Linked DNA regions of Caenorhabditis elegans. The protein of the gene in region 2 interacts with the protein of the main gene of each other region in a pairwise test. Each region holds a gene or a part of one and is shown on either strand. Other genes may lie near its edges.

The links.
Region 1: the proteins of rpa-2 (region 2) and rpa-1 interact in a two-hybrid assay, tested with the Caenorhabditis elegans proteins (3 studies listed by BioGRID).
Region 3: the proteins of rpa-2 (region 2) and mau-8 interact in a two-hybrid assay, tested with the Caenorhabditis elegans proteins (2 studies listed by BioGRID).
Region 4: the proteins of rpa-2 (region 2) and nhr-111 interact in a two-hybrid assay, tested with the Caenorhabditis elegans proteins (2 studies listed by BioGRID).

The regions. Positions count from the first base shown.
Region 1 is NC_003280.10:7,662,547-7,667,679, reverse strand, and holds rpa-1 (putative replication factor A 73 kDa subunit), read right to left. Parts: upstream 3,099-5,133; 5' UTR 3,089-3,098; coding exon 3,005-3,088; intron 2,953-3,004; coding exon 2,899-2,952; intron 2,851-2,898; coding exon 2,769-2,850; intron 2,725-2,768; coding exon 2,619-2,724; intron 2,577-2,618; coding exon 2,332-2,576; intron 2,290-2,331; coding exon 1,988-2,289; intron 1,936-1,987; coding exon 1,840-1,935; intron 1,791-1,839; coding exon 906-1,790; intron 861-905; coding exon 747-860; 3' UTR 570-746; downstream 1-569. Other genes in the region: F18A1.7 (Chondroitin proteoglycan 4 domain-containing protein), read left to right, coding at 3,926-4,043, 4,091-4,393, 4,442-4,709, 4,760-4,871. UniProt on the Caenorhabditis elegans protein: As part of the heterotrimeric replication protein A complex (RPA/RP-A), binds and stabilizes single-stranded DNA intermediates, that form during DNA replication or upon DNA stress.
Region 2 is NC_003279.8:4,768,272-4,771,997, forward strand, and holds rpa-2 (Replication protein A C-terminal domain-containing protein), read left to right. Parts: upstream 1-2,020; 5' UTR 2,021-2,032; coding exon 2,033-2,116; intron 2,117-2,163; coding exon 2,164-2,485; intron 2,486-2,534; coding exon 2,535-2,995; 3' UTR 2,996-3,087; downstream 3,088-3,726. Other genes in the region: M04F3.4 (EF-hand domain-containing protein), read right to left, coding at 3,215-3,218, 3,333-3,410, 3,607-3,726.
Region 3 is NC_003282.8:13,376,081-13,380,962, reverse strand, and holds mau-8 (Phosducin domain-containing protein), read right to left. Parts: upstream 2,948-4,882; 5' UTR 2,939-2,947; coding exon 2,739-2,938; intron 2,683-2,738; coding exon 2,481-2,682; intron 1,629-2,480; coding exon 1,449-1,628; intron 883-1,448; coding exon 758-882; intron 708-757; coding exon 638-707; 3' UTR 501-637; downstream 1-500. Other genes in the region: emc-3 (ER membrane protein complex subunit 3), read left to right, coding at 125-481; Y62E10A.6 (NADPH:adrenodoxin oxidoreductase, mitochondrial), read right to left, coding at 3,695-4,045.
Region 4 is NC_003283.11:16,122,375-16,127,107, reverse strand, and holds nhr-111 (Nuclear hormone receptor family member nhr-111), read left to right. Parts: upstream 1-2,268; 5' UTR 2,269-2,326; coding exon 2,327-2,378; intron 2,379-2,786; coding exon 2,787-2,897; intron 2,898-2,939; coding exon 2,940-3,110; intron 3,111-3,306; coding exon 3,307-3,446; intron 3,447-3,501; coding exon 3,502-3,591; intron 3,592-3,632; coding exon 3,633-3,804; intron 3,805-3,853; coding exon 3,854-4,053; 3' UTR 4,054-4,213; downstream 4,214-4,733. Other genes in the region: fbxa-143 (F-box domain-containing protein), read left to right, coding at 361-991, 1,039-1,245; skr-3 (Skp1-related protein), read right to left, coding at 4,635-4,733. UniProt on the Caenorhabditis elegans protein: Orphan nuclear receptor.

The DNA.
Region 1 (5,133 bases), on a different chromosome or scaffold from region 2:
AACACCTTCTGTTGGGAACGCATTTGTGTGTGCTCTCCCAGACACTCCATAAGGTCAGCTGCATAACCCTAAATTGCATCGACAAATCTTAACAACTGCAACAGAAAAGCTACACTCAAAATATAAGACGGAAATTTTCTTTCAGCACGGCTTAGTTTGGACGAACAATTTGAAAGGAGTGTTCAAATTGCAACTGTTTGGAAACATAATAAAATCATTACGGAATTTATTTTTTTGGAAAATCAAAACAGGTGATAAAAGACGTTTCTGTAAATGAAAGTCACTAGTCTTTTCCACTAATCCGCCAATGTCTTTCATGGAAAATAAGACAAAAAAAAAGACAGCGTTAGAGAGAAATAGACGAAGAGAGCTCAAAGAGCTCGCTGGCTGCCCACGAACCTGCGGGTTAGCAATGGAAAATGTGGTCGTGGGCAGAGAGACGTAGGATAAATGTGGCAACCCAAGGCCATTTGTTGTCGGGCAGTCACCCGCTCTCAAGGACGCTGCAACGACCCAATGCTGTCACTTCAGAACACATCTCGAGGTCACCTGGCACTCAAAGATAGGCTCACATCGTATAGTTTATTCGCTAGTAAATGAGATGAAAAACATTGTACAAAATCAGCGATTGTGGATGTGAGACATGTGATAACTTTAGGCTCAAAAAAGGTTTTAATAATATTTAGGTTTTTTTAGATTTAAATGAAACAGTCGAGATCGGCACGATGTAATAAAAAACAGAACATTTAGTAGTCACTCATTTGTTGCATCTGCTCGATCATTTGCTTCAGATTTTCGATGTACTTGTCCTGATTGACATCATCCACACCATAGACAGTCATCTTCTGACGAACTTCTTCCTATAAAGAAAACAATCATAACGGATCTTCAAGAAATAAAGCTACATTGTACGAATCCATCTTGCAACGAAGTCTCCACATCTTTGGAACAAACTGAAGGCGTTCGAAAATAGCGTTGTACTCATCTGGGCTTTCATCGTGCAATTCTCCAAGCTCCGCAGCTGATTTTCCAACAATCTTCGCAGCACTATCTCCGAAAGCTGTGACATAGACCTGTCCGGTTTCGTCCGAAAGTTCAAACTGCATCATGTACAGCCACTTGAACTTGTTCATGTTCTTATTGCACTTTTCGCATCTGTAGTCACCATTTTCTCCCACAAGTTTCTTTTGGCAACCCTCTGAAGCGCATCCTCTATAAAGAGCATTCGTAGGATTTACTCTGGTAATCATTGCTTTGACAGTTGCGTAATCTCCCTTGTCGGAATCCTTTCCAAATTGCATTTCTTGGAGTCCTGCAATAGTACGTGGAGCTTCATTGGATCCTCCAGCAGCTTGGCTCATCATCTTAACTTCAGTGGTTGGTTTCACGTTTGCGTACCAATCATAGAGTTCAGACACTCCAGCGATTTCTGGCACCGAAATAATACGAGTTGCTGACCCAGTTCCCAAAGAGAATCCTCCATTAAACTCTCTTGGAATAACACCTTTGAATGCGATTACTTTTTGAACATAGTCATCAACAAGTGCTTTTGTTGCTTCGTCTCCCCAAAGTGTCAATCGAACAAGTGCTCCAGACTCGTCAATCAACTCCATTTCTCGCTTGATCAGAGATTTTCCAGCCTTTGAAGTGAATTCGGTAGCCTCTGGATCCATCTTTTCAACCACGACGAGAACGTCAATCAGTTGTCCAGCATATCCAGCGATTTCACCTAGCTTCACTCGTTTGAGTATGAGCTTTGGAGCAGCAAGCAATTCACCTCCAGCTTCAATCTGAAAATTTAATATTTTAGCTATGATGAATCGCTTTAAATTTACTAACGATAGAATCGCTGCGAAGTGTGATCTCGTAGTCGTGTCCAGTATTGTTGAACTTCTTATTTGCTTGTTTGACTGATCCACCAGACAAATAATAAGACTGAAAATATTAAATTAATTATTATGCATAATCCGATTAAAATAATACTAACAAGATTCTCGGTGATTGTGGTGTACAAGGACTCAGCAACCTCGTTGAATGCGGTACATCTGATTGTATCTCCGTTTGAATCGGTTATTTCAAAGTTGAACACTTTCGTGTTTTTCGCTGGGAAAGTACGAATTTCCTCCTTGCGTGATACCATTCCGTGAATTTTGAAATTCGATACGTACGGTGTAACCATTGCAATAGGCATCACGCCTCTTTCTGTGTTCGACGCGGTACGGCGTGCTGGTGGTGGAACAGCTCGAGCGCGTGTAGCCTCTGGAGCAGCGGCACGATTGTATGAGGCTTCTGAAAACTCGAATTACACACATTACAACTCTTAGATTTTACCTTCTCCGAATTCTCTTTTCGGCGCTTTTGCTGCTGGTGGATTTGCCATATTCTCCTGGTAATCAGCAGCCATTCCTTCAGCTTCAGGCCAAACATCTTCGATGATAATATTTGGTCTATAGCCTTTGTGCTCATCAGGTTTGCCAGAATGAGATCTTGGCTTGACTTCTGGAGAGGTCAAAACCTGATGATAGCGAGAAAGAATTTTGTATCCTTTGATCAGGAAGCAATTCTTAGCACCTTCTCTGAAAAATACATTGAAGGACTCAATAATGTTATAATCTCACCCTTGGTCGTAGATTTCAAATTTAGTAAGAGCGATAATTGTTCCCTCAACAAGATGCTCAACTTCACGTTTGATTTGGTCATCGATATCAGCGGACATGAGCGCATCTTCAAAGCATAAATAAATATCAGAGTATAACAAACTCACTTACTGTATTGGAAAACACCGTCTGAGATACGAATTCTGAAAGTGAATGCGTGACCAAGTTGCTCTCCTTGCTCTACTTTGCCTTTCTGAAAATTATCGAATTATTGCGAAACTTTTGAATTAGTCAAAAGTACCAAAACTTGAACGATTCCATCATGTCCAGGATATCCATTGTTTTCGATAGCCTCCTGAAAATTCATCAAAATTAAATTTCCTGGTTTTCTACATTGATTTCTTTACCTGAACATAGCCTGTTGTAAGTCGAAGTTTCCCGTTAGTATGATACTTATTGAAGACATCGTGATTGATGTGAATTGCCGCCATCTTTCACTATCTGAAACAGATACATAAAAATTGGGGAAAAAAGCTTGAAACATGAAGAAACAAATGAAGGGGAGACGATTCAATTTTGAATTCTCTACAGGCCGGATACGCGCCAAAAAAAATGGCGTAGAATGTGATGTTTGCGGGAAATGTGTGCCGAAAAGCGGGAATTTCTGTTAGTCAAAGAAAATCGAGCACAACTTGAATTAAAATATGAGAAAACAAATAAATATTAAAAAAAGGAATTGAGAAGTTTTAAAGATTACAATAATAATTGTTGAAATTTTGATGAAGGTTTTACATCGGCCAAAATCGCATGAATCGAAATTATGGCAGCGCAATATTGGAAGAGGGTTAAAATACTGAACAAAAACATTCTAAAAGTCAATACTTCGTCCAAACATGAAGATTTTCTGCAGGTTCTCAACAAAGCAATTCACATTTGAAAAAGAAAAAAATGAATGGCTCGGACCACCTGCGTAAATCTTGCCGGGTACGGTATTCGCTTCGAGACCTCCATCAAAACCGTAGTTTGGAAATTGTTTTTTCCCGCCGATCTAACTTTTCTATTGACGCGCTAAATTTTGAAATCAGAAAAGTCGCATAAAGAATTCGGATTTTGTTTTATTTTCATTTGTCAGTTTTGATAAATTTTCATTTTATAAATTATGTAAAGTTTCGGCTATATCAGTTACCCACTTCATTTCTACCTAGCTGTTCTTTTCCTTATATGACCTTCTTGAAAGCTTATAAAAGTTTTCGAAAGCTTTTAGACCACTTTCAAACTGCTTAATATCTAACCCCCATTTCGGAAAAAAAACTTCTACATAATTCCAGATGCGCCATCTCCATCTCGCCTTCTTCCTTCCCGCCATCTTTCTGTTCTTCTCGTGTGTAAATGGTGCCATCGAATCGGTACACGACGACAAAGATGTCGTGCCACACGAAGAACAAGGTAAAAAACTAGATTATTGTGTGCTTAAGATTAAAGTTTCACTTCAGCCCTCGACGTCGACACAATTTTCCGCGCTCTTGGAGTTCCATATTGCATGCGAAAGTGCATCGACCCGTTCATCAATTCTACGACGTCTCTGTGGAACATGAAGAATGTTGTACATCAAGCTCGCAAAGTCTGTGGTCATCATGCACAGGCTATCACTTGTCTGAAGAAAGAACAGTACTGTGATCACAACAAGCTCTTCGCAAAAGCCAGCAGCAGTGTTGAATATATGTGTGCCACAAAGCACGTTCTGTTTGAGCGAATGGAGTCGTGTCTCAACCCTGTCGTTGATGATATCATGTCAGGTAATTTTTTTTCTGAAAAATTGCCCACCATCAAAAAATCGTTTTCAGGCTGCGACAAAGAATGCTATGCTCGTTCAAACCTAACTGCTTTCGCTCAAGATTCTAACATTAAATTCGCTGCTACAGTTGGAGGTAATGTATTTATTGTTGCTGATCATCTTGGAGAACTTTGTAACTCTCTGCAATGTACTCTCCCATGTGTCACCAAGCGACTCAACAGCAAGTGTGCCTTGAGTGGATGGCTTAGTCTGGACATGCTTATGCAACCATTCGATGCCGTTTCTGTAATGGTTGATCAATTGTCACCAGCATTGAGGTTAGTTAGTGCGATCATTATTAAATATGCTATGTAACTAAACATTTCAGGGATGTCATCAGTAAGAAAATCGATAAAAGATGCCGTTTTGCAATTAACCCAACTCGTCTCAACCGCATTCGCAACGGCGATTTCAAGGCTTTTAACATGGATAACATTTGATCGCATCTCATTTCATGATTCCAGTACTCACTAAAACCCACGAATTGTAAATAATCACCCGACACAAATATGTTGATATATCGAATAAATAGTTGTAAACTGTAAACCGCTTTCAATAATCATTTTCTCAAACGCGGATGAAAGCCGAAAAAAATTCTCGTGACATTTTGTACAACTATCGAAGCTGAAATGGCCGAAATATCTGAATTTCGGCCGCGTGGTCGACAAAACAGCTGACAAGTTCAATTCATCGATCAATAAT
Region 2 (3,726 bases):
ATGTTTTTCAGAGCCGGCGGAAATTGTTCAATGAAATAATTGTACAAATTGGTTTGCAAGCTATTCATTGAACATTAAGAGCGATATTTTATTGATCATGATAATTATTTACAGATAAGGATAATATTACATTTAATGAATTACATAATTTCAACAAAAAAAACAATAATTTGTCATGAAAACGGAAGAATTTGGAGGATGAGCAGCTCGGGCGGATCTGAAAAATTTAAATTAGAACTTTCATAATGACATCGCTGATATATAAATGAAAAAAGATTTTATCTCGTCTATTATCAGATTCGCTTAGTTTTTAGAGGCCTTTGGCTTAAATGAATGCTACAGGTACACTTTTCTCTTAATGGATACGGAAAAGTGAACAAAAATCAAATTTCTAGCGTCTTTTCCACCATACCAATTACAAAATTCTACACAATTCAATTGAGAAGTCTACGGTTTGGAGTTTTAACGTTCACAGAGACGTACAATCGAAAAGAACATGGTTATTGCGAAGAAGAACTGATCGCCCGCCACTATACAGAAATTCCGACTTCAAAAGAGCAGTGACAGCAAATTATAGCTGTTTCAACGATTTCAATGCCTGTATAAGTCCATCTATGTTCGATCCGAAGATATTTCATTAATTTTTTGTTAAACTATTTCAATTTTTGTTCTTAAATCAATTTTTTTTCCTACTTTCTACAATTTGAGAATATAATACTCACGTAGGTGGACTGGAGAAGCACATCCTTGTTTCATCCGTGCAATTTTGATGGTCCCTCGATTCGACGAAGTCTAGAAATTAAAAAAATTAATAAAATATGAGAGGGAAAGAGATTAACAAAAGGAATACACGAATTAAGGAGGGCGAATTAACAAGTCACGGTTGAAAAATACTTTTTTTTGCGAAAATGGCTGAAAAAACGAAGAAAAACAATTCAAATTGAAGTTTTTAGAGTCGAAATTGATTTTTCTCCCCCAAAAAACAATGAAGAAAATCATCATTCAAAACCGTGCGGAGGTTGCAGAAATGGGCGTATTGTAAGGCACGGTTCTGTGGGCGTGGCCAATCCCCCGAGTTGGGAATCCCCCCAGTTGGACATCCCCCGAGTTCTTCGGGTCTCGTCGAGTGAAATGCGATAGAATTTGTCTGTGAAAAACCAAATATCGATTTTCCTTGAATATCGTGAAGAACAAATCTTCATACTTACGATTCTTCACAAATTCGATGAAAATCTGATAGTTTTTTCAATTTTAGCTCTATAATTCCGAAAAAAATCTTCTGTTAATTTTCGCGAAATGTCGTCAATTAAAATGCGCGCTGTGCAGTACGCAACGGTGTACGAAAGTTTACACTGAGTATTCAACGTTGAGCACGCAGTCAGCCAAATTGGAATACGGTAGAGAATCCTCGTCCATGTACCCCCCGCCGGGCCGTGGGTCGAGCTGAATACACGTGATTCTCCTACGCAAGGACTATAAAAGTGAGCTGTCACTCTCATTTTTCTTCTTTTTTCATAAAATTTAGTTCATTCACTTTATCGTTGCTTGTCTTTTTGTGATATTAAGACTTCCTGCGCTTATATTTTCATCTTGCCAGTGCTTTAGTGTTAGATTCATATAAATTTTCTGGCCTTCACTTTCAGATTTTTCACATTATCCAAAAATACATGTACACTGAATTCCTGAGTAAATAATTCTTTATGATTTATTTTTCTTTTTAATGGTTTTCCCTGTGTTCGCGGAATATTTTGTTTTGAAACCTAGTGAAGTAAGCGCGCTCTATAGAAACGCGCGAAATTGGCCGTTCAAACTAAGTATTGCATAATTTTAGCTCCATTTTCGACATCATATCAGTTTTTTACTAAATTTTTCTGTTAAAAAGTTAAAATTTATGTTTCAGTGTTTCTAAAATATGTAACACATCTTGTCTCTCTGGAATCTGTTGATAAACGCTAATTATTCACCTTCCCTTTCTTTCCTTCATTTTTCTCGCATTTCTAATCTATTTTCATCTTTCCAGAAACTACTAACCATGTGGAACGAGACTGTCGAGCACGAGAACGCAGGAAACGGATGGGCCGCTGGAGAGTCGTCGTTTATGACCGACAGAAAGCCTGTAAGAATAAGAGATAAATCATACTTTCAAATAAATATTTTTTACAGGACTCGAAGGCTACAACTCTCGGCGAGAGGCTCCCAGTGCCGGTCACGATTTCCAATCTGATCGAGCACTTTTCTGCGCAGGATGACAAGTATGTCGTCGGGACTTTCCGATTCGCAACGGTGTTGACCGTCGGTATTGTGAAGGATATCAGTCAGGATGGGACAACGTACACGTACGACCTCTGTGATCCAAACAACACGGAGATGGAATATCGTACGCTCAAGTATGACAATGAGGGTTCGACATTCGATCATTCTTCAATTGTCGAGGGAACTCGTGTTCGAGCCATCGGAAAGCTCAAGGGATTCGATGGAAACAATAGTAAGTTTATATTTCCTTCAATTATATATCTTAATTCAAATAATTTCAGCCATTATGCTGTTCAACATCACTCCAGTTGAAGACGACAAGGATTTCACGATCTTCGAGCTCGAGGCAGAAGCTGCACGTCTGTTCTTCCAAAAGAACGTGAGCGAGAAACTGAAGTCGGTCGACTCGGATGGCTTCCAAGGAATGCTGGCACCACCGAAGAGCAGAATGTCACAAACATCGCATCAAAGCTCGCAAGGATCGGACACCAAGGAGAGATTGTATGCTCAACCGCAAAAAGTGATGACGGGAGCGAACCAAGGAGATGTGCTCAGAGAGCGCATTACCGCCGTCTTGATGGCTGTGCCAGAGGGTTCTCGTGACGAAGGTCGACATGTTTCGTGGATAGCTGAGCAAATTCAAGAAACGAACATTTCTATTGTTCGTAAGTGCGTCGGTGAGATGGTCGAGAACGGATTGGTCTACACCACTGTCGACGAGGAAACTGTTTCCGCTATTTAACTGCTGATTGTAACATTATTTTCATTATCCTTCTTTCATCCCACTGGGAAATTCACTTTTGATACTCGAAACTATGAATGATTCATACTTTAAAAGCGTTTATTAGTAAATTTGAACATAATTAATTAGACGCTAATGATGCGAAGAATCCGAGGAGGAAAGAGAGCATGAGGAACGGCAAATCACATTATTAACCCAGACGATTGAACACACTTCGAGCTACCTGAAAACAAAACGAAATTGAATTTAACTTTTTTTCGAATGGAAGCTAGTAGAAGTGCTAGGTGTTAGGTCGAAAATGGATTGTGGTTGGTTCTCTAAATACTCTTAAAATCACATTTTCAATGAAAAGACCATTGTCAGGAACTGCTCGTAGCCGACGGTGATGACTCCATCGCGGTCCGTGTCGACGTCTCTGAAAATTAAGTAATCAGATTGTAAAGTATGATACTCCAAATTTTTTGGTCAAAAATTACTATAGAAACATAGAAAATAGTTAGTTCCATCTAAAAATATTTTTAAAGTAATATTTAATTTTGTTGAAAAATTTTGAATTTTTTAAAAGAGCTTTTCTCTAAATTTCTAAATCAATTTTAGCCCTGATTTCTAACCTGAAGGCAGCAGTGAGGGTCTGAAGAACGACGCAAAGTTGGATAAAATCGTCGAAATTGATTCGATTACTGTGGGATCTGTCGAATTTGTGCATAAGGATGTTGTAGAATTGTGGAGAG
Region 3 (4,882 bases), on a different chromosome or scaffold from region 2:
ATCGGCAAACCGGCAATTTTTTTCCGAAAGGCAACTGCTGCCCACCCCCGTTTCTGTAACACTGTGATATATCAAAAATTTATTTTTTTAAAAGTAAATTTTAAAAAAAATTACTCTCCCTCAGATCCCAATGATCGTCGTCGGAGGATGGATCAATTGGACATTCTCCGGATTCGTGACCACCCGAGTTCCATTCCCACTGACTCTCAAATTCAAAGCGATGCTTCAAAGAGGAGTTGATCTCGTTTCCCTTGATTCTGCCTGGGTCTCCTCAGCTTCCTGGTACTTCCTTTGTATGTTCGGCCTTCGATCAATCTACACACTTGTTCTCGGAAGTGAAAATGCTGCTGATCAGAGTAAAGCGATGGAAGATCAAATGGCAATGACTGGCTCTGCAGTGAATCCACAAGCCGATCCACGTGCCGCATTCAAAGGAGAATGGGAGGCTCTTCAAATGATCCAACATCAATTTGCTCTCTAAACGTGTACTTTCCAAACATTTGTGTTTCACTGATTTATTTATTTGACATTCGATTTGTTTTTTTTTCCAATATAATATAAAAGTTATAAATAAGTAATACATTTAATAGCTTTGAGTTTTAGATTTTTAAATTGTTAGTTAAATATAATTGTATAATCAATCATCATCCTCAGATTCGTTATCAGAATCACTTGCATATCCACCAGCCATCAAGTCAATGTGTTGTCTGTAAAAATATTGAATTTTAAATTTAAAAAGATTCAGCGAAATTAGTACCCTCTCAAGAATTTGGTCAACTTTTTGCAATCATAATCCTGTCCCAGTATTGCGGAGATTTTCACGAAATTTCCAATGAGATTTCCGTTCGAATAGAATTGAAGGCACGGCACACCGTTCGTTCTCTGAAAAATAAAAAAATATTGGCCAGACTCGAAAATTTGTGCTAAAAATAAAAATACGGTACCAGGTCTCGACGCGACAAAATTTTTTTTGTCGTCTGCGCCTTTAAAGATTGTGGTAACTTCAAATGTTCGTTTCTCCGAAATTTTTATAGATTTTGCATATATCTATAGGTTTTTTTTCACGAGTTTTCAAAATTGAATGTGGTTTTATTGTTATATTTGAATTTTTCAGAAACAATATACGCACGTGGTGCCAGGCTGTCCCATTACGGTTTGATCTACAGAAAATGCGGGAATTTTTTGCCCAAAAAAATGTGACGGCAGCACGTTCTTAACCATGCGAAATCAGTTGAGAACTCTGCGTCTTTTCTCCCGCATTTTTGTAGATCTACGTAGATCAAGCCGAAATGAGAAACTCTCACATCACGTGTATAGTGCTTTCGAAAAAAAATTTAAAACTTTTGAAAATTCGGAAGTTTGAAACTACAGTACTCTTCAAAGGCGCAAGACCTTTTCGCATTTAACTAAAAATTTGTCGTGTCGGGACCCTGAAACGTATTACATACAAATGCTCTGCTCATTTCAAGAAGAGTGCTTGTCGCTCGAACGAATTTGGTTTTCGGACAATCGGCGGCGAGAATCTTAACGATTCGTGTCAAATATTCACATTCATCGGATTCAGGCTCATATATTAGAACACAGAGAAGATATGATGAACTTCCATCAACGGCATCCGAATATTGTTTCTGAAATTTCTTGGAGCATTTTTGAAGGATGTTTGAAATCGATAAAATGAAGAAGAAAAGCTAATTTTTTTTGGAAAATTGAATAATTTTAGTTTTCATTATTTATCATTTTCCGTTAAAAAATCGTTTTTTATTTATTTTTAGTCGAAATTTAAAAAAAAATCAAAATTTCTATTATTTTGCAATTTTTTTTTCTCGAAAAACGGAAACCTGATTTTTTTTAAATTTTCGAGAAAAAATCGAAAAAGTTTCGATATATCCTTTTTTGATTTTTTTAAGAAAAGAAAGCAACTTTTTTAATTCGAAAAATGCCGATATTTGAATTTTTAACGACAACGGGGCGATGTCGAGAAATTAGAAAAAATTATTATTTTATTAAAAATAAAATTGATTTTTTAAAAATAAAATCAAAATATTAATTTCTCGACGTCATTGTGGAAAAAAATTGAAAAATAACGAAATTTTTCGAATTAAAAAAAAATAAATTTCCGACTAAAAATTGTAAAAATAATTTTAAAAGTTTTTTTCTAAAAAATCAAAAAAGGAAATATCGAAACTTTTAGAAATTTTGATTTTTTGAAATTTCGACAAGTTTTTAAATGTTTCTAGAAAAAGATTGAGAGACTTTTGAATTTTCTAGAAAAAAAATCGAAAATCTTTGGTATTTTTTTTTTCGAAATTAATTTTTTACTCGGAAAGTGAAAAAAAAATTTTTTTTCCAGTTTTCTGGTAATTTTTGCCAATTTTTCTTATTCATTTTGGAGAAATTTTCTTTTTTTCCCATATTTTCTAAAAAGTTTTCAAAAGTTTTCACAATAAAAAAAAAAAAGTATTTTTTGATTGTTCCTATACCTTATCAGTCATTTCAATAACCCGATTTGCTGCAATTTTTCTCATTTCTCTAAGTCTCTTCGCTTTTAATCCCTCCAAAGTCATCTCAAAATCCTCATCTTCATCATCTTCTCGTTGTGCTTTTTCTCGTTCTTCTTTCGATCCAATCATCATTCCTTTCTTCGCTTGCTCAATTAATTTCTGATTTTTTGATTCGACAGCTCTGAAAATTTACAAAATTTTTTTTTTAATTTTTAAGAATTTTTTAAATAGTCTCACAATCTAGTCTGTTCTCTGAACGCTTTGAACTCATTGAGCACTCCTTTTGCTCCAGTATTCGAAGATGGTCCCATTCTCTTCATTACATTCGCCTGATGCTCATCCTCATCGTTTACAACTTTGAAATCGTCCTCTTCACCTTCTGAGCTGCTACAGTAACCCGCAGGCTTTCCGTCCAGAATTCGTGATTCCAAATTCATTAGAGTTTTCTGAAAAAATATTTTTTTAAATTTATATTTCTGATCTTTTTCGAAAAAAAAAAAAGAAATTTTGATTTAATTTTTCTTCAGAAAAATCATGAGAAATTTGAAACTACTGGTGAGAAAATTTCTTTAAAAAAGTTTCTTCTCAAGCATTTTATTAATTAAAATTTTTTGTAAAATTTCCTGATAGTTTCGTAAGGAACTTTTTTTAAAATTAGAGAAATATCACACAAATTAAAGGTAATAAATTTGGCAGAATTGCCAAAATCTGAAAAAAATATATACCAAAAAAAAGTTTTTTTTTAAATTTTTCAAATTAATCAAAATTTAAAAAACAATTAAAAATCGGTCGTTTTATATAATTTTTAAATTCCTATTTTTACCTTTTTCAACGTTTTTCAGACTTTTCTATAAATTAATTGTTTTTTCTTTGGAAAATATATGAGAAATTTGATACTTTTTTCAAATATTTTTGCAAATTTTTAAAATATTTATCAAAAAAATTCAAAAATTACTGGGAATTTTCCAATTTCTCATTAAAATGCAATTTGTTTTTGGATCAGAATATCAAATAATTCAAATAAGGTAATAAATTTGGCAAAATGACCAAAATCTGGAAAAAAATCCAATAAAAAAATAAAAAAAAAGATTTATTCTATCTAGAAGTGTCTAGTTAAATACAGAAAATGTACTGAAATTCCAGTAAAACCCGGAAAAAAGGGTGAAAGAAAACTCGATAATTTATGGCATTTTCTAATTGCATTTCTTCAATTTCGTGAGAAATTTCTCAAAAGTTGTGAACTTTTCTCGAATCTTTCCAGATAGCTTTCCAGTGTCTTGTTCTTGTCTATCAATTTGTTTCCATTCATCCCATGATATAAATGGAACTTTTCGATCTTCAAGTAATTCTTCAACTCCATTAGATGTGCTATCTTTAAATTGTGCAAAGTCTGCGGCAATTTGATCGGCAACAAAAATTGATTGTTGTTGAGTGTCTACAATTATTCCATGTGGTCCATGAGCACACCATCCAGTTGCATACACTTGTGATGAACACGCAGCAACCATATTTACACGGCAATGATCTTTCATGTCTATCATTTTCTGAAATAAAAAAAATATATTTGCAGAGATTTTATGATTTTTTTTTGAATCCGGGAATTATGGGTCATAATAGTTTTCCAGATAATTTAAACCAATTTAAATTTCCGACAAACCGGCAAATCGACGAAGATTAACAATTCCGGCAAATCGGCACATTGCCGGAATTGAAAAATTCCAGGAAACCGGCAATTTGCCAAAAATTTTCTGGCAAATCAGCAAATCTCCGGAATTTAAAATTTTCGGAAATCGGCAAACCGGCAAATTGCCGGAAATTTTTATTTTCGACAAATCGCCGAAAATGAAAATTTCCGGCAAAGTGGCAATTTGCCGAAAATAAAAATTTCCGGCAAATCGGAAAACCGGCAAACGGTCTTAATTGAACAGTTCCGGCAAATCGGAAATATGCCGAAAATGAAAATTTCCGGCAAATCGGTGAATTGCCGGAATCGGAAAATTCGGGCAAATCGGCAAATTAGCGAAAATGACCGATTCCGGCAAACCGGCGAATTGCCGGAATTGGAAAATTCTGACAAACCGGCGAATTAGAGAAAATTAACAATTCCGGCAAATCGGAACATTGCCGGAATTGTCAAATTCCGGCAAACCGGCAAATTGCAAATTTTCGGCAAATCGGCAAACCGGCAAATAGCAGGAATTGAAAATTTCCAGCAAATCAGTAATCTGCCGGAATTAAAAATTTCCGGCAAATCGGCAAAAGGTAATTTGACGAAATTGAAAATTTCCGGCAAATCGGCAATTTGCCGAAGATTAATATTTCTGGCAAATTGAAAAATCGGCAAATCGTCAAATTGCCGGAATTGAAAATTTCCGGCAAAT
Region 4 (4,733 bases), on a different chromosome or scaffold from region 2:
AATCTCCTATTTTAAATAGGTTACCACACTAATTTAAGCGTCAGGTTTGGTCAAAAGTTGTCAGATATTTTATTTCATTATTTTCAAAAAATATGACCTTCCGATTTTGTTTCAGAATGTACAAAATGTACTAAACATTCTGAAAATTATTTAAACTTTGCAAACGAGAAAAATGTTTATCACTTTGGGGTTTTGGTATTTTGAGCTAATAAAAATGAGCATTTTGCGATGAAATATATATGTATGGTTTTCATAAATTTTAGTTTTCTGTAACTTTGTCAATAACCAGGACTATGCAATTGCCGCGCACCCTAAACTTACAGCTTTCTTGAAAATCATTTCAAAATCTTCTATTTTCAGATTAATTGTGCGAAAAGTGTCTCGAAAAATGAGAGAAGTTATTGACACTCACAACCCTGGCTTCAAAACTCTAGGATTTTTTGTGAAAAAGAATTACACATCATTGCTCGTGGATAACATGGAAATCAAATATAGCAGCGTGGGACGTGATTGTGTCCTGAAGTATGGACAGAAGACAAAAACAATTATTGGTGCAAAATCTGTTGATGTGGCTTTCAATGACTTTGGAATTATCATGAAGAATCCGGCACTTCGCTTGGAAAAATTTCCGATTCAGCTTTCTGTTGATGTTGAGCAAACTGGGACTTATTTTTCAACTCTTCTTGATGTTTTGAAATCCTCCATGTCTTGCCTACACGTTAAAAAGTTTCATGGGACAGATTTCTCCGAGGAGCAGCTTCTATTAGTGATCCCTTTCCTAAAAGCTGGATATCTTGAAAAAATTGAGCTGCTTTCCAATGAGCCCACAGATCTCGAGAAAATCGCTAAACTTGAGCAATGGAAAAGAGCACAAGTTTTTGATTCGTTCTGGAAGAGTTATAAGGTTTCTGTCGAGGATATGCTCCATTTCAGAGAGTTCTATGTAATTGTACCTTGCTTTTCAAAAGAGGATGCAGTAAAACTGAGAGATGTAAGTTTAAATAAAAAATCGAAAAAAAATCCAAGTATTATTTTCAGTTGCTCACAAAATCAGTGGACTTCGAGAACGGGTGCTTCAAGTTCCCCGAAACCAACATTATCGAAATAGTGAGAGTTTTCATTCTGGACTACGAAGGAGAAGAACGGGCCAAAATTGATTATAACGAGAATGGCACAGATTTTATCTTGGACTTTAGCACAGAACACTTTCGATTGACAAAAAAGAAGATTGTGGACAGTGACTGAAATTAAATTTTAAAAAATATGATTTTTTTTAAAAGTTTTTGTATTGAATAAATTTGAGACAGACCGACGGCTCGAATTTCAGGTCAAAAGTAGAATTTTGCAGTTTGCATAATTTCAGTTTTTGATCACCCCATTCAGTAGGGAGCCATAAAAAATGGAATGATGATTAATATGCTCTTCTGAAAAATTAGACTTGTGTAAACACAGTGACGGATAACGACGTACGATTCGATAAAAAGGAATAGCTGCGGGAAATGGTGAGCACATGTGTAGGCTAGGAAGCAGTAGGCATTTTTTAGATGTGTTTGGTGCGGTTCAGTCAATTTTTTGCTGGGCTTTTGTGCTTCACATTGAGAGCGTTTTGATATTTTTGACTAGAAACTGAATGTGAGAAAATACTTGTTTCCGAGTATACTAGATGCTATACATAGGTTTTACAGTTTTATATCTTTATTGCATTTAACTGAAAATGACCAAAATCTGAAAAGTACGTAATTGGAAAATGTATGTCAAATTTCAGAATTTAATTAAATATACAACTGAATCGAAATCTGAATATTCTGAAATTTTCAATGAAGATCTCAGTTTTTTTTCCACCATCTTTTGCGCTAGGTTAGCTTAAAGACATTTTTCGTTTAAAATGAAAAAGTATTTAAATGAAAAATGACATATATTACGAAAATTTCCGCTTTCAGAAAATGTGATATCATATATTTCCAGCGGACAATTTCCGCATTTCTATGACTCAACAATTTATAGTCCAAATTTTATTTCAATTCGATCATTCCCTAGTGAATGTTTGCTTCTGATTGATTTCAACTTTAAATACACAAGTGATCTGAAGTATGGTATATCTGCAAAAAATTTTAGAGAGATTGCTGCTCAACTTTTGGCACCTTTTCTCTCGTTTCTCTAACTGTCACTTTATCCTTCTTGTACTAAGCCGGCTGCCTCCAACAGGTCAAGTGGGAGGAGTCGTGATTAGAAGTTGAGCAGTAACCAAATTATTTTTATGCTATTATTGTAGATACTGACAGGATATTCTCAACTTACTCAACGAGAGAATATTTAACAAAAAAAGATGAGCAGCCAAAATGCGAAGTCAATCGGTGGCATTTTGGAAACTTCAACAGGTATGCCCCAATTTATGGGATCGAAAAATTTTTTCATGCTTTAACTAGATAATTACTCAACTCACCGAAATGTATAAATGAAAGCATTTGGTAAAATATATCAGAAAATTTTTAGAAGTCGAAAACAAACTTGCAACGTTGTTTTCTAGATTTTGGAATTTTTTTGACATTTTCGAACAGATTGATAGCAATTTTTGTACTATACTTGTTGACATCTCAAAAATGTATTCTATGTTTCCATTATTTAGATCCCAGTTACGTTATAACCTGACAGAGGTTTGCGGGCGGTAAGTAGAAAAACCAGAAGCTTACAAAACTTGACCGCACTTATCAGCTTCTCAATTTACTTAGTTCAAAAGTTTTATGACAGAAGATTTACAATCTTTCACGCATATCTATAACTTTCAGTGCCTCTGGTCATCCAACCGCAGATTGTAAATGACCCCGCGCAAAACAACATAACTCTTCCAATCACGCTTTGTGCAGTTTGTGGGGACACTTCTAACGGAAATCATTACGGTTGGAAAGAAGATTTAGAAACTAGATAACAATGAATTTTAGGTGTGCCAACCTGTTTCGGATGCAGTGGGTTCTTCAGAAGAACCGTTAGAAACAAGTTGGTACATGGATGTTGGAATGGAGACGGAAACTGTGTGATTGATAAAGCGAACCGGAACAGGTGCAAGTCCTGTCGAATTAAAAAGTGCTTCAAGAAGGGGATGAATAAGAATGGTAAGCTGCTTCTCTGAGTTTGGGCTTCAGATCATTAACTTTGTGTTTGCACCATATAGTGCGGTAGGTATTTTTCAGTGGCCGACATTTTTTTGAGTTTCGCGCCGCACCATATTAACAAAGGCCTGAGGCCGGCAGAAGCCTCCTGAAGCCGGCGAAGGCGACACAGTTTCGTCTCTAAATAATTATTTTCCAGCTGTGCAACCCGAGAGAACTTCCCATAGCTACACTGTAGAGTATGTCGAGTTGCCCTCATTCCGAGAGTATTCCAAGGGACTTCTGCCTACTCACTCTGATCGTCTCAGATTCCAACACGAACATGCTCAACATGAAATTGTTAGTTAATCAGGAGACAAACTATCAACCTGAGACACCACAAATTTAATTTCAGGACACAAGCTCCGTGCTAGTTCATCTGAAAAACGCACTCCAGTGGGTGCAACAGTTTTCGCTCTTCGCAGTGCTTTCCGATGTTGAAAAGGTCTAAATGCCAAACATAAAAGTCATTAAAAAAATTTCCAGAGCCAGATCATACTGACCCAGTGGCCACATCTTTTGTGCCTCGCGTTGTTCGAAAACTCCGAAAAAATCTTCATCGATGAAAAATTTGCACAACTGGCTGAGAAATTCAAATCCCTCGAACTTTCGGCGCAGGATTATTTCCTCTTGAAGGGAATTATTATTTTCACGGAAAGTAAGTTTAACTAGAAAAGCTGCTGAGCTTTCAGAAACTAAAATTTCAGCCAAAGATGGCACTGATCTCAAATTCGATCGCCAACTTGATATCTGTATCGGCCTTCTCAATCAGTTGCACCTGGAGTCTTCAAAGTCCAAATCTGGAAGGCTTCTATTTCTCCTCGGCGAGCTTAAATCCTATTCTACTAGACAGCTTGAATCTCTCCTGGATCTTAAAGCTTGTGAGATTGTGATTAGTTTTCTTTAAATTTTGACTATTTTTCTGATGCTGTTATATGCACACATTACCCCCATTTTGCTCACTAGTAGTGCTCAGCTTAAGCTTAGACTTAGGCTTACGGTTAAGCTTAGGCTAAGGCTTAGGCCTTGGCATAGGTCCTGGCTTAGAGATTTTCATTTAATTTGCAACTGTTTCCTCAAAAACAATGTTCAAACCCAAATTTCTTTCCTATTTTTTCTCCAGATTCCCCCAAGGCAACCAAATTTTTTAAACAATTTTCTTCTCGATCAGTTGAAATACTTCCAAAAACGTTACAACGATTTTGAACAGTTTTTTTACAAGTCAAAACAGTAGTTGGCTGCAAATTTGGCCGCCAAAGTTTTTTTTTTTTGCAAATGGTAAATTCATACACAATGAACAAACTACACAATATACAGACGTTATACATTTATTTAAATTATATTTTTTGTTGGAAGCAATGTAAAGCGTACTTGACAGACAAAGTTTTTTTTTGTTTAAAATAATTTTTGATTTTGTTTTAAGTGACATAAAAGAGGTATGTAAACCGAATCAGATAAAGTTCAAGTTAATTATGTTTACCAGGGAGCTTAATCCTCGCACCAAGCGTTTTCCTTCTTCATGGCCTCCCGTTCCTCCTCGGAAAAATCGTTCTCAATGTTGAAGAGGGTTCGGATTTGGCTTGGAGT